Linked DNA regions of Oreochromis niloticus. The protein of the gene in region 1 purifies or fractionates together with the protein of each later gene. This does not show direct contact. Links are inferred from orthologs where the notes say so. Each region holds a gene or a part of one and is shown on either strand. Other genes may lie near its edges.

Evidence for each region.
Region 2: the proteins of cdk13 (region 1) and ccnk purify together in Homo sapiens (affinity purification with mass spectrometry; 4 studies listed by BioGRID and IntAct, counting the BioPlex papers as one, with this or other methods). This does not show direct contact. The link is inferred for Oreochromis niloticus from reciprocal best matches to the Homo sapiens genes CDK13 and CCNK.

What each region holds. Positions count from the first base shown.
Region 1 is NC_031974.2:13,116,396-13,124,091, forward strand, and holds the start of cdk13 (cyclin-dependent kinase 13), read right to left. Parts: upstream 3,021-7,696; 5' UTR 2,074-3,020; coding exon 926-2,073; intron 692-925; coding exon 125-691; intron 35-124; coding exon 1-34. UniProt on the Homo sapiens protein: Cyclin-dependent kinase which displays CTD kinase activity and is required for RNA splicing.
Region 2 is NC_031980.2:2,995,027-3,002,175, reverse strand, and holds the start of ccnk (cyclin-K), read left to right. Parts: upstream 1-4,135; 5' UTR 4,136-4,322; coding exon 4,323-4,330; coding exon of another isoform or gene 4,331-4,331; intron 4,332-5,089; coding exon 5,090-5,326; intron 5,327-5,680; coding exon 5,681-5,762; intron 5,763-5,856; coding exon 5,857-5,988; intron 5,989-7,149. UniProt on the Homo sapiens protein: Regulatory subunit of cyclin-dependent kinases that mediates activation of target kinases.

The sequences.
Region 1 (7,696 bases):
CTTTTTCTTCCCTGAGAGTGAGCTGTCTTTCAAGCTGCAAAAATTGTTGAGAGAGCATTAGCATACTGAAACAGTCTGATCATATCTACAGAGTACAAACATTTCCTGGTCAGCACATCCATACCTTTCTCCTTTGTCCGTGTGCTCAATAACTGTTTGGGGCAATGGCAGCAATGGGAGGGTAGACATGGCTTGACCTGTGGTACGTTCCTTTTCTTTGCCTTGTCCAGACGCTGGTGCTTTCCTCTTGTCCCGATGTATAGAGTCATCCTTGCCCTTTACATCCCTGTCCCTGCTGGTCTGGTGCTCTGTTGTCTTCTTGGATGACCTCTCTGAGGGTGACTGAGGCTGGGTTGATGTGGGAGTTCGGGGTCCCTTCTCCGGTTGAGGTGGAGAAGGAGGGCGACCCTTTCTGGAGTTGTGATTCGATTTAGGGCTGGGCTGATGAGCGGATGAGGAACCCTTGGTGGGAGTCGATGTATTGCTCGAATTCTTGGCCTTGGCAGCTGCTTCTGCAGCTTTAGCCTTTTTCTGCTTACTGAGTTCAGCAGCAAGGCTAGTTTTGAAGGTGAGCGTGCTTGGTGAAAGACTAGATGGCCGACTACGGGAACGAGAGTGGCGGTGTCGGCTGCGAGAACGTGAATGCCTTGAAGTTGAATATGGACTTCTACTACGTGATCTAGCAGATCGCCTGGAAAGGAAATGATGAGAACAGCATGTTCAGTTGGGATATTAAAAGCACTTATAATTCAAGGTATTTCAGTCAGATTATCAACTGCAGTGACACATATAATTTTTTATTTTATTTTAAAATCAAATATGAAACAGTGCAGCCTTATTATAACAAATCTAATAAAGTCACCACACCAACAGAGCATGTGCAACAAATTAAACATGCTCAATTAGCTCCGAAATAACAACTCACCTGACATCAGGACTTGGGCTCAAGGACTTCCTATATGGACTTCGTGATCGCCTCCGGTTACCATAAGGGCTTGAGCCAAACTCTCCTTGTTCATAAGGACTGTGCCGACCGTAACTCGGAGACCTGCGCCAGTTCACTGGGCTCACAGGCGATCTCTTCCTTTTGTTGCTTGAGTATGAACTGGGTGACTTGGGGGCACCATACGACCCATACATGTCTACATCCCGGCTGTAATATGTGGAACTGGGAGACAGTCTTTTGCTCCCATAAGTTGGACTCCTTCTAGATATCAGCTGGTTATAACCGCCAGGAGACTGGTAGTTATATGAATATGATGTCCCATAGGGACTTTCTGATTTAAAACCAGGACTTCTCCTGTATGCCCTGAGGTCCTCACGATCATCTCTGTAAGACTGTGGAGCATCTCTGTATGCAGATGGGGGCTCTTTATCAGATCTTGTTTTACTTCTGTGCGTTTTTGAATCCCTTTTATCAGCAGATTGTGAGGACTGGGATGTAGATGTCCTTTTGCCATTCCTGTCACTGCTCCTTGTAGTGTCTCTGTGATTTTTAGAGCCACTCAGGCTTCCTCCACTCCTGGCTTTTGAGGAGTCCCTCTCCCGACTGTGACGGTCTTTTTTCTTACTTAGCTCCTTCTCTTGCCTGCTTCTCTCAGATGGTCCTCTTGTTTGCTCGTCCTTGCTGAGGCTCACTGCCTCCCGCTCTCTGGGGTGACTTCTGTCTGGGGATGCTGGTCCATTATAGTCAACAAAGTCAACATCGCTAAGTCGGTCCGCTGTGAGACTCTCAGCATGGGGGTCAAGTTTAGGAGAGGGGCTCCCAGAAAAACGCTCTGACTGGGAGCTCACGTCATCGTACTCCACCAGTGTCCGAAGTTCAACATCTTTCTCAAAAGCACTTCTTCGATCATTGTCAGGGTCTTCTATTGTACCGGTATGCCACAAGCCTCTTTCCTTGGGTTGCCTGCGTTTCTTTCTTCTAGAAGCCGATGAGCGCCTCTTCTCACGGTGCCTGTCTCGCTGAGCGGCACCGCTCCCCGGTTTGCTACGCCTGTCCTGCCTGCTAGCATTTCTCTGTGCAGAGGGGCTCCGTCCCCGACCCTCGCGAAGCACCTCCGAATTAGGCATTTATCTCCCAAATAAATGCTACCACCACGCTAAGAATAATATATTCTCTAATTTACCAAAGCTATGTCCCTTGGTGTGTCGTGGAACAAAACATTGGGCTAGCTATGGTGACAGGCTAGTCAGCTAACGTAACAGCAAAATCACAGGTAGACAGCCAGCCAGCTAGCTTAACGTTAGCATTACAAAGCTAGTACAATTCAGATTTAAGATAAAGTGAGTTAGTTCAGAAGGAAATTAATGACACTTAGTGCCAGCACACTCCGGCTCATATCAAATTCACAAAATGATTCTTGGTTATAGAGCCATACGATACTCAACCATTGTGTTCCAGGACGGACATCTCCCAGATTTACCAGCTAATGCTAGTCGGTTTAGCCAGCTAGTATTAACTGGCTAACTGTACTCGGCTACACAGTCGCATTCCATTTCATGGTAAAAGCACAGGCCTATAGCCTCTCTAAATTTAAGATCCACTTCTTCTAAAACGTTACCGTCTGTGCGAGCATGTAAATCCATTTACCGAATAGTGTTAAAATGTAAGTAGTAAACTCCGTCTCCTTCTCACAAACTTCTTGCCCTCCATCACACTCCGGTGTGCAACAAGGAAGTGAACAGCACGCGAGTTGGCCGGATAGTCCGCGGCTAACCAGCTAGCCGCTAGCAACTTAGCCAGCTAGCTTCTCCTTGTGTGGAGTTCAAGACAACTCAGTCAACATGCAAGAAAACAATGCCATTCAAAATCACGCCTGCGTCCACGTATCTTGCTGGACTGCTACCTCAGCTGATTGCAGCATTACCCGAAAGTAGCAAAACCTCTGCGTTAAATAGCTCAAAAATCTTTGAATGTGTTTATATTAATATAACTTTGTTCCCAGTGCAGCTAACGGTACAGCTCGCCCGGGCCCAGGCTGCTTTCAAACTACAGGCCTTGTGCGTCGGTGTCAACCAATGGCACTCGTATTCGTAATCCATTGGTAACGTCACAGCGAAAGGGAAACCCCTACCATCAAACCCCCCCACATAATATGATATGAAAATGCGATATTAACCAGAGTGTACAGGAGATGGTTATTTTCCACGTATCCAGTAAATGGAACTCCAGGTTATGTCTTTCCATTGATTACAATAAGACCAGATGCTGCCATCACGCGCCATATGCGCGACACAGTTAATCTAGGTTCACAGTTCGGCTTAGTTTCATTCATTTATTTAATCATTCCTCAGTTTAAATGATTAATACTATACTATACAGAATATGGTCATTTGTCAAGGGAATGATTGGAAAATTAAGAAGTTAAATCTAAGTATTAAAAACAAAACAGATGTTTTTATTAAAGAAAAAAAAACTATCCAAACCTACCTGGCCTCGTATGAAAAAGTAAATACCCCTTAAACCTAGTAACTTATTGGGCCACCTTTGGGTGCAAGAACTGCAGTCAAGCATTTGCGATAACTGGCAATGAGTCTGACACATGAAAGGAATTTCGGCTCACTTTTCTCTGCAGAAGAGCTTTTCACATATGGTCAGGTAGGTTTAGATAACCTTTACTGTTAATAAATGAAATAATTTACCAACTGCATTTTGTATTTACTCGGGATATTTTTTAATAATATTAGAAGATGATCTGACTGGCAATGCACAATCTATTGTACAATAATATTTCAAATTCTGTGTGTGCGCATATATACATAGATATATTTATATGCAATAAAAATGAAATACCTTACAAATTACATCATTCATCACAGACACAGAGTTAACGGTGGAACACGATAAAGATACCTAAAAGCTAAAGCAATTTTTTACTTTGTTCTCTAAACCAAGTGCACAGACCTAAGCTGAAATTGTGACAAATATATTTATTTACCTGTTTTTATTGTTATTTACCCAACAAAGACACCAATAAATGTTACTTTTCCATTTTCTGGCATAAAGTTTTTTTTGTGGTGTGTTTTTATGGACATGTCTTGCCATTTTCCTGGCAATCCAGGCCTGCTGAAAGGCTTCATGAGTTTCTAAGGAGCTTAGAAAGAACCTAAACACTTCAAGAGTTTGTTTTATGACCTTAAGATAGTGCTTTTCCTCTAAGAAAGGTCAGGGTAAGGAGATAGATATTATCCATGTTTATACATATAACACAGCACTTCAAAGTTCACCTGTTCAGTGCAAAAAACAATAAACGTATCACACAGAACATACAAACACATTTACAAAGTGTTATTAGTAATGTCCACTTTATTTGCCATTTCCAAACTCACAAAAAAATGAATTGAAATGTAAGCGTCACCTCTTGTATTCACAAACAGATAGGCTACATTAGTGGTTATGTTAAAAATAAGGAAACATGAAGGAAACATTTAACTGATGGCATACATACAACCATCCAATCAATTACATAGATACCTATATATTTCTTTTTTTACTCCAAGGGTATAGAAAAGGCAAAACAAGTTATCTGAATACCCAGTAGGACAGTTTGCTCATAGCATTCACACAAACATCTGTTTTAGTATTTCACTGAAATTTTTCGGGCTATCAAGTCTATTAAATTAATATGTGGAAACAAAGTAACAGCAGTAGAATGATTATGAATGATGTCTGCTTGAATAAACAAAAACCCACAACAAACTGAAACAAGAAAGACTTTGTTTAGCCAGTGTTATAGTAAGCAAGCATTACGGTAGTCACTTTATGTAGGGCAGCTTCTGTAATCCTCAACAATGAAGACACAATGCGGTTAATGTAATAATCTCAAGCTAAAGAAGGAGAGTAATAATAAACTGGGATCTTTATGCTCATTCCAGTTTCTGTGCGTGCCACTTTAACTTTCAGGGCGTTTCAATCATTATGTGGTGTACTGGAGTTTAGCCCTTAGGACATATATTAGACTAAACTGCTTACCAATCAGTTTGATGCCATCTCACGTTACTGTTTTAAAGTCCAACTCCTCCTACTATGTGCTTTGCTGTAAACATGAGTTGCATGATAAACGCACATTAAAAAGACAAACAAACAGACAAAAGAAAGCTTCATAGCTGTTGGATGACACACTTTTTTCCAAACTGCAGTCAGATCTCTAAATGGCGCTCCAGCTCAAGTGCTTCTACTAGTCAATAGTTTCTAGACCCAGTCAGTGTTTTAAACTCTTTCCAGGTTTCACATTTCCTCTTTGCAATTACAGCAAACATTTTGCATAGACTCCAGTGTTGGGCACGTTATTGGTTGTGGCAATCTTTTAGTGTAAATGGTGAGCAGCTTACTATTAAGTTAACGATTGGTAGTGAATCAGAGAGAAACATGGCAACAACCTCAACGTGGCTGTTTAACTTTACTGAAATATTAAAAACAAATAATAAGTTACTAAAAATAAATTATAATGTTCATAAGAAAAGAAAAAAAAAGGCTCAGTCATAAATTAAGAAACGAGGGGCAGTTTTCACAGTGTATTTTGGTCTATGCATTCTCAATTTGCCAATTTCTATACACTGTTTCAACCTTTGCCTCTAAAATGCCATCTACAAGATAAAATGAACACATTCGGCATGTTACTACAGCACTGTAACACAGGGTAGCCTTGCACAAAACGTAGAAAAGTAGAACGCCAGCGACCTCTAAACTCTGCAAATCATTGGCAGTCTAAGATTACAGGCAAACAGGATGAGTATGAGGGGATGTTTCACATTCACAATGGACAGAGAGGCAACAGTGACGCACTGCACAAGAATTACTAAAGCCCTCATAACCTTGCATTTCTTTCCCCAGGCGAATCAGACCGAAATCTCGACGCTTCCCGACACTCCTTTTGACTTTTGCAAAGACTGTAGTGCTTACTTTTGATGCTCATTACAGCAAGCTGTCATTCACTTCAAATAATAAGTGGGCACTTGTTTGTACTAGCTAGCGTTTTTCTTTGGCGACTAAAACTTTTTTTGGACAAGTATCACCTCACGTCTATGCAGCCTGCAGTCTCGTTTTCATTTCATGCCTTAAAAATGATCTATTCATTAATTTACCCCAGCTTTCCAATTAAGGATTTTTCCATTTAACAAAAGGAAAAGGGAGATAAAAGTTTGCAGATTAAATGTCAGGGAAAGTTATACATGAAAAATGACATTTTTTACAATTTACAATGTGTTTCTTTGTTTTTAAAATTAAGATGTGTCAGCATGTAAGGGATGTAGTGTTATGGAATCACCTTTTATCTGAGCACCAGGGATTCCTTTATCGCAAAAAAAGGCAATGCCAAGTGAGGTAAAACTTCTGACATGTTAGAATTGAAAAAAGTTCAAGTGTTGCAAAATCCCTCACAGATTCAAGGGTAACGATTAATGTCCATTGTGCATTTGAGAAGACTCAAAGTCTCTGGGGTAAGGGGAGAGATTAGTGGAAACATTAGTGCGCTTATCTTACACTGGGTGATATGATAGAGGAGAAGAAGAAGAAGGGAAATGTTTGACGTCACGACTAAAAATAAGTATACATAACTGTACAACATAGTAAAACTGAGGTGTAAAACGACAAATAGGAATGGCATCAAATTTTGTCTCAGGCTTTGATAATGGAACTGTCTTCTAATTGAAATGATTCACATGCTCAGTGCAATGTTCATCTCCTCTGTGGCTCTTGATGAACTCTGGGTTGACACTACACTGCTGAGTCTGTTAACTAACACTTTCTACCAAAGATGGTGGATTAATTAAAAGGGATTGGGGCTTTCCAGTACTGAGCTCCAGTTACATCTTCCCTGTTTAAACCTTGGCGCTTAGACTTTCATTTAAATCTTTTTTTCAACTTGCACTGCACAGCTCTCTTAATATGTGTGTGTGTGTTCGCACACACACGTGTCAGACTTTACAATGAAACGTTTTGGAACATTTCAAGACTTAGCCTTTTGTCAAGCTTAGGTCTAAATTAAAAACACCACTGAATTATTACACTCTGTAATGTGGTCAGAGTGAGAGAGAGAGGGTACATAAATTATTTGGAGTGTCAGCACATAAAAAGTTAGAGCTATAAATGGTGTATGAAGTGCCACCTTACTACTTCCTGACACATGGTCAGATGTCCTGTTAACCAGGAACAGAAGATCATGGTCAGGTATGGGCACAAAAAATTAAATTAAATTAAAAATTTTAAAAAAAGCAAAAGTCTGAGAAATGCGTATGTACATAAGCAGCGAGCCTGCTCCCTCTAACGACTATAAAATACAGCATCTCTCTCTAATTCTCTTGGCCAAACTTTTACTTTTCTTCTTCCCGTTTTTCTCTTTGCTGTCCTCCATTTTTCTTGCCCGGATCTCTCTCATTAGGTCGAAAAAAACCTGTTAACAGGAGAACATAAAAAACACAAGTGTTCACATTTCTGTGTTTATGTGTCTGTTTTGCTTGGTGTCAGCATAGTCAACTCATTTTGCCCAGGAATTATTATGTTCAGCAAGTTAAACAAACCTTGTCAACATTGGCACGAGTTTTGGCCGACGTCTCCACGTAGCACACGCCCCACTGCTCTGCACGTGCCTTTGCCTCATCTGCGCTAACCTGCCGTCGGTCGTCCAAGTCTGACTTATTACCAACCAGGAGAAAGGGCACATTCTCATCCTCCTTCACTCGCAGAATCTGCTCT
Region 2 (7,149 bases), on another chromosome or scaffold:
ACCTATTTAACTCCTCTCCCTTTTCTTTAATTTTAATGATATAATTATATCATCTGGGTTCAAATGGTGGCTCTTTAGTTTAGGATTCCCTACAGTCCTTCCATCTCAGCAGTGGCGCGCTACAATGACCCTTTGGCACTGACTCCCCTCGCGCGTTTTGGCATCGGTGCGCAGAAACGGCAACTCTTGGCTCTCGTGGCAGTAGCCGCGTTGATTGAGAGAGGGAGAGAAAGCGACAGAGAGAGAGAGAGAGAGAGCGCAGGCGGGCAGACGGACAAGAGACACCTCCCTCCCCTCCTTCCAACAAGCTCCAGTGTCTCCTATTGAGCCGTCTTTGCAGCTCACACGACGAAACATGCCCTGTTTGGGGCGACCCCGCATGTGTGTGTGTTTGTGTGTGTGGTTGGTGTTGCCTCATTCAAGTTTAAGTGCGTCCAAGACATCAGCCACTACAGAGGTGTGAACGGCAGACAACACAGAGACAATTTGCGGGGGGCAACCAGCAGTGGCTCCCCAGAGCTCCACCACGAGCTTCAGACGCAAACATCACTCAGCAGTGGCTACTTCACAGGCACGCTCACGTCTGGCTATTGGAAGCAGTGTCAAGTTAGCAGCCAAAATTCACCTTCACTTGATTTTTTCTTTTTGGTAATTCTATCACAAATACTATGAAGTAAAACAATCTGATCATTTCACCTTTTACCTATTTAGAACCACCACCACCACCCCTCATCATTGCTTACAGAAGTCTCCCAGGCACGCCAGATGGAAATGATCTTAAAACAAGAACAGCAAACACCTAGATCAGGTCCAAGTCAAACTTGGATGAAGGGTCACCTTTAATTTAGACAATCCTTTGTGTTGCTGTTTGTCGACTATGTAAACGCTGAAGCACTGCACAGGACACATGGCATCATACATGCAGTACTTACTCACATTTGAGTCAGAGGGTGGAAAACCCATGCTGTAGCTTTGTTGTTGGGGATCATTTAAATATGTTGTGAGGCAACAGTACCCTCTGTTGGCACAGTCTGGAGAACCTGTTTAGGCAGTGATACCTTAATGCAGCATTACTAAACTCCATCCCTATTTTTAGAATGAAGCCTCCTTAATTTGCCATTTACACAGTTCAGCGTCTGAGAGAGAGTCCTTGGAAAAGCAGATCGGGTTCACTAAGAGGCAATTAATAGCACTAAGGGAAGGTAATTGCACACGTACAGGTCTGCATTGAGATACAGGTTAGTACAGCCCTAACGCCACCACACCATACAGTCCAAACTGGTGCCGTGCCGTAATTTGCTTGAAATACATTGTTGAATAAAAATAATAGCCTCACACGGCCGTTTAAAGTTGACACTGTTTCCTCGTAGATCAGCAGAGAAGTGTGCAGCCACAGCAATACATTTTACAGCCCGCCATTAATAAAACATGGTGGGCAATTTTAAGAGCATTAGAAGTTTGATTGCTTCGGGGCAGGCCTAGGGGACTTTCAGGACAGTAATTATTTATATAAATGAAATGTCATCTCAGCTCTGGCTCAAGTAGACGTAACCTCAGCAGACGCCACATGGAAACACTACGGCACAACAGCTATCTTTCACAGATAGGCCAAGCATGTTGTCGAGCATATTGCTTTGACTGGAGCGCATAAATTCGATATGTGATATTACACGGAGAGTCTTCGACTCCGCGTCGGGCCAAGAGAGCAACAGCAGTCGTGGACATATTGAATGCTGAAGGAAAACATTATCCTGAGTTCACACACGCTCTCTCTCTCGCTCGCTCTCTTGCCATCCCTGCCGGCTGCGAGCAGCTCCTTGATCCTTACCCATGGGTTTCTCAATAATACATCAATGTCTCCATTATAGCTTGTAACTGCAGGCTCTGGGCAAAGGCAGTTTAAAGCTGGGTTGCATGGGGCCAACATAGCACAAATACCCCGCTTGTGGACACAGGAAAGGTTTTAAGTCCAAATGTTGCCTCCAAGGAGACATGCATCTCTCATGCTAAGTGTGGTCGCTCAAGAGGAGGTACCTGAACACACCACGGGGCAACATCCAAGCAAGATGTGAAAGTTTTGTCCAACTTACAAGGGGCCACGGTGCTGACATGCAATCGCTTTTTCCAGAATCTACTGAATTTAGAAAGATCTGCCTCGTTTGTAACTTACAGTTAAAATAATGAGCCCGGTGACAAAGTTTTTAAAAAAATTAGGAGCTTTTGCATTTGAGTGGACACGCGGCTCACCCGGCTTTGATTCTGGGTCACCTCCATCATTGCATCCCTTACATCTTCCATTTTTCATGTCCCTCCCATTTATTTACTCTCTAAAGAATACAACAAAGACATTAATACAGTATCCTAAAATAGACTAATGTACATGACGGAAACTGCACTTTATACAGTTTTTAGGGTTAAGTGTGCAGACCTTTCGAGACAGTCTTCAATGCGTTTAACCACAGCGTGACAGAGCTGACATAAACAATGAAAGGTCCACTCCAGGAGAGCTGGGGTAATATGAATATTGCTCTGGGATTTGCTTATAGTCGGCGCTTCATTATGCAATGTTTAATATTAATAAAGAAAGTATAAGTATATATTATTCATAAGCTGATTTACGGTGGCTGGTGTGTGTGTGTGTGTGTGTGTGTGTGTGTGTGTGTGGATTTGAGTGACAGATTGAGATGCTCCCTTGCTACAGGCAATACAACTAGACAAGGCTCTTACTTTTCTACAGGACACATCCTGACAATTTCTCCCACAGTTAAGAGGATTTGTCCGAGCAGGGGTGAATATATAATGCATGCAGATTCCAAATTTTAATTTGGACGGAGTAAATGATTCAATGCTGGCTTTTCTCAGAAGTGAGACTGGGCGGGAGGGGGATGCAGAGGGCACAAGATGTTACTTGCAAACCCCGCTCTTATGCAGTGACATTTAAACAAGTACAGATGATGCTGCACCTTTCACATGTCAACAACAGGAGCCTAAAGGAAAATTACTTTTCTAATATTTTCATTTTCCTGCTTAAAATTCCTTTTTGGTTAATATGATAGCAAGTTTCCATTACCAATAAACACCACAAACAACTTCTTTTTTTGTCCTAATCAGTCCCTTTTCTCACCTTCTCCTTTGCAGCAGGGTGAGGTGGTAAACTTTCATAATCTGTCCTGTCTCACAACCTTCATGTTTGAACTCAGATGCCATCGTGACAGATAATACATGATAATTATTTGCAGTTTGAATCTCATGTGCATATATTGTTTTGCGTATTAATTAATATCATCGTCATTCTGTGCATACAGCTCAAAACCAACATTTAAGGTAAATTTTAAACGTGTACGTGTTGTTTGATTAGATATAAATAACTCACGAGTAATATAGAAGATAACGCCGGCACTGAGTTAAAAAATGAGGGATTTGCTTGTGTTTAATCAGTAAAATAAACCAGCAATGTTTATTTTAGGGAGTCAGACAGAGTAGATTTGGACCCAGTGTTCTTTAGTATGTGCACTCTCAGGCAAATACCAGCAAAACTCATCTACTCTTAGATCCAGTTGTGCATCAGCAGTCTGTTTGTAACATATACAGGAGTATAAAAATCTATAGGTATCAAACGACAAAGGAAAATCTGCTTCAGTTTATGTATTATACGTGTTTAACCTTGTCATTTTTTCTTTTTAATTTAATTTTTAACTTACCTGCAGATTCACATTTATACTGGTCACAACTCATACTTGTTTGATTGGGTTCCTTTTACATCCTGCTACTGCTACATCCAGTGATATTTCTTGTAAGGAGCATATTTCTATGTTTGGGTGTTACCTGCTGCAGGACTCACCAGGTGTGAAAATAACCGGTGACTATTCAGCACAATGTAAATAATATTTGCTTGCTTGCTTGTAATTTGCACATGTAAACTATTTGGTCAATGCTAAGTCAATGCTGACCGCCAAGGTCCAAGAGTGAATCTGTGTCTCCCTCTAGTGGATATTATTGGGAATATCATCCTTTAGATTATTATCAAGAATATAAGAATTTAAAATGTTTTCAGGAAAGGCGGGCTGTTTCCAGCAGCGCTAGTTAGACTTAAAACACGAATGAAATTAATGTAGCAGCGGAAATGGAAAGAAAAATGTGACCCGAGAGCACGTGTACATGAGTGCCTGCGTGATGACGTCTTCCAATGGTCTGACGTACCGCAAAATGGTGGTGCCCTTGTTACAATGGGGTCTGTTGTTCACTTGTTAGCCAACTTATTGTGATCAACTGTGGATTATTGCTACAACTGTCTGATTTAGGCGATTTATTCGGACGTCTACATGTTAAAGGTAAGAGTTGTGTCTCGTTGGAAGCGGGAGGGAGATGAAGAGGCTGAATTCTGAACTACTTGTGACATGTCGGAAGCTTCGGCGTTAACACCGAGTTGAGCAAGTTTGCTAGCCGAGGTTTAGCTAGCCGAGGCTGGTGCAGAGTGGCCCTGTCGATGTGACAGCGTTGGTTGCCTTCAGTTGGAGAGTTTCATAAATGTTAGCCTATCGGCGCGTTTAAGCCACTTCGAGTGTGTGGCTCATGTTATCCTAATCTCCGCCCCTTGCTGCTTTTTTAGTTTTACGAAGCTAAGTTACCATCACAGCTAACAGTGCCAGCAGTAGCGGGTTCGTTGCAAAGCATTTTCGCTGTGTCTACATTAGGCTGTTGATTCTGCTGTGCTGCTGTAGGCACACTGGGAGACGAGATTTACACATGCATGGAAATTATAGATATATTATGTTGCTGTCTGAATCCATTTTACTCATCTATTTATTTACAACGAGCCTGGACTTGGAGCACAATGCAGCTCAGAAATGTTTGCTGCTCTTTAGCGTTTCACACTGTGGACTACAAGCTAATTACACTGTTTATAAGCCTGAGTGTGTGTATAAAACTACGCTATGGCCTACACAAAATAGCGAGTGGACGTAAACTCGTGGCCAGGTTATAGGCAGATTTGTGGTACTCTTTGCCTGAACGTAAATATTTACTTGTGTAAGCTATGCTGTTTAATGCTTTGCTGCCCTTAGTGATGATCCTTTTTATTTTTATCTCCGCAGTCCAGCACAGCGGGTCCATCCACCGCCTCTCCTCAATCAATGAAGGAATCCAAGGAAAATTCGTCAATGACGGGCCAGGCAATCTTGGACCATATAAAACCATGCTGGTACTGGGACAAGAAGGATTTAGCCCACACGCCCTCTCAGTCTGAGGGTCTGGACCCTGGCACAGAGGCCCGGTATCGCAGAGAAGGGGCTCGCTTCATATTCGACGTGGGGACCCGACTTGGCCTGTATCCTTGATTTAGATGATAGATTTATTGCTACAGCTACAAGAGAAAGGGTCACACGATTAATCAGTGCCACATGCTTCAGTTTTATAGTTAAAGATAAACAGACTTTTAAAAAGCAGTACATCTGAAAACGTCTTTTATGGCTGTCTTGTCCTTTCTCACAGAACCTACTTTGATGTGAATGTGAACATTTTTACAGGGTTTGTCTGATATACTTATATATATAATGATGTTTGTGGAATCATTATTAAAAGAAAAAAACTTTTTTCTTTTTAATTTAAAGAGTCACACGTTAAAGCTGATATTTTGCAAATGACCATTATTAGTCTTTGTGAGTCCTTGACCTGCATTTAGACACTACGACACACTGGCAACGGGCATCATATATTTCCACCGCTTCTACATGTTTCACTCCTTCAAGCAGTTTCCCAGATATGTAAGTAAATCTAATGGTCCCTGATTGTTTCACTCCTGGAAGCAGACCTGATGTTTGTAATGGTGAAGTAATGGTGTGATATGTGTCTCGACAGGTGACGGGAGCTTGTTGTCTTTTCTTGGCTGGTAAAGTAGAGGAAACCCCAAAGAAGTGCAAAGATATCATTAAAACTGCCCGCAGCCTCCTGAATGATGTGCAGTTTGCACAGTTTGGAGATGATCCCAAGGTGCAGTTCCTTGTATTCACCTTTGTTTTGAGATGTTTTTGCCTTGTGATAGCAGAAGCAGAATGGGTGTGAATACCTGTTAAAAACAGGTAGTGTGTAGTGGTCACAGGCCTCACTGTGATACAGGCAGATGACAATAATAACAGCGTCACTAATGCTTGAATAAATGAGGTCCTGGTAAAACTGAAGACTGAGTTTTCAATAACCTAAAAAGTTCCTTACTTATTTTTTTTAGTGATCAGGGCTTTTATTTACCTTAGCTGCCTGTAAGTGAGGCAGGCTTGCATTACAAACAAACTTTTATTCCTCGCTTTTATTAGAATAACTGTCTGTGTTCACTTGCATACAAAGCTTTGCTCAAACACGCTTACATTTCTTTAGTTTTAAGCTGGTGCATTAGGTGCGTAATACCACAGTAAGCCATGACTCATTCTTTAAACAGATCAGCGAGGTCATCAGAGCGTCACTCAGCACAGCTTTATGTGCCCTGACTCACAGAGACAGTAATCAGACCAGTTACCCTCTGCTGTCATGGGGTCAAAACCAAACAAGAACAAGTTTTAAATGCAGTGGAGTATGATTATGTCATTATGCCTCTTCACGTCTTTGCTATTAAAAACACACAACTCCCTCTCAACATTCAAGATTTTTCTTTTTTCCTCTTACCAGTTGGCGAGCTAAAATATCTATTAGCATGAAGTAGCCTCTGTTTCACTTAATCTGACCTTGAGTACTTTTGATAGAGCATGCATTTGTGACATCTGGACCTGGCTTATAACTTGACACTTTATTAGACACGTTTACAGCAAACACTCTTCTGGATTAGATCCAGCACTCATATGGAGCGGCACAAGCATCATACAGACGGCTTGTTTGCTTTCCAAGTCGCTCTTTAACTTGTTTAGCGTCATGCTAGAATTAGCCAGTGTCCTGGCTTTTCTCACCAGTTTTTAGTAGCTTAACTACTGTCATTAAGTCAGAATTGTACATTAGCTTCTTTCTTACTCAAGTGTTTTTAAATGAAAAGTTCAGACATTTGACTCTCATCTGGCTTATCGTTACTAATTGGAAGTAAAGGTAATGGAAACTTGCCATTCATTGCCAAAATGAGCTTTCATGTTTTTTAACATGTGCAGTATTTCCAGCGCCTACAGCGTTTTT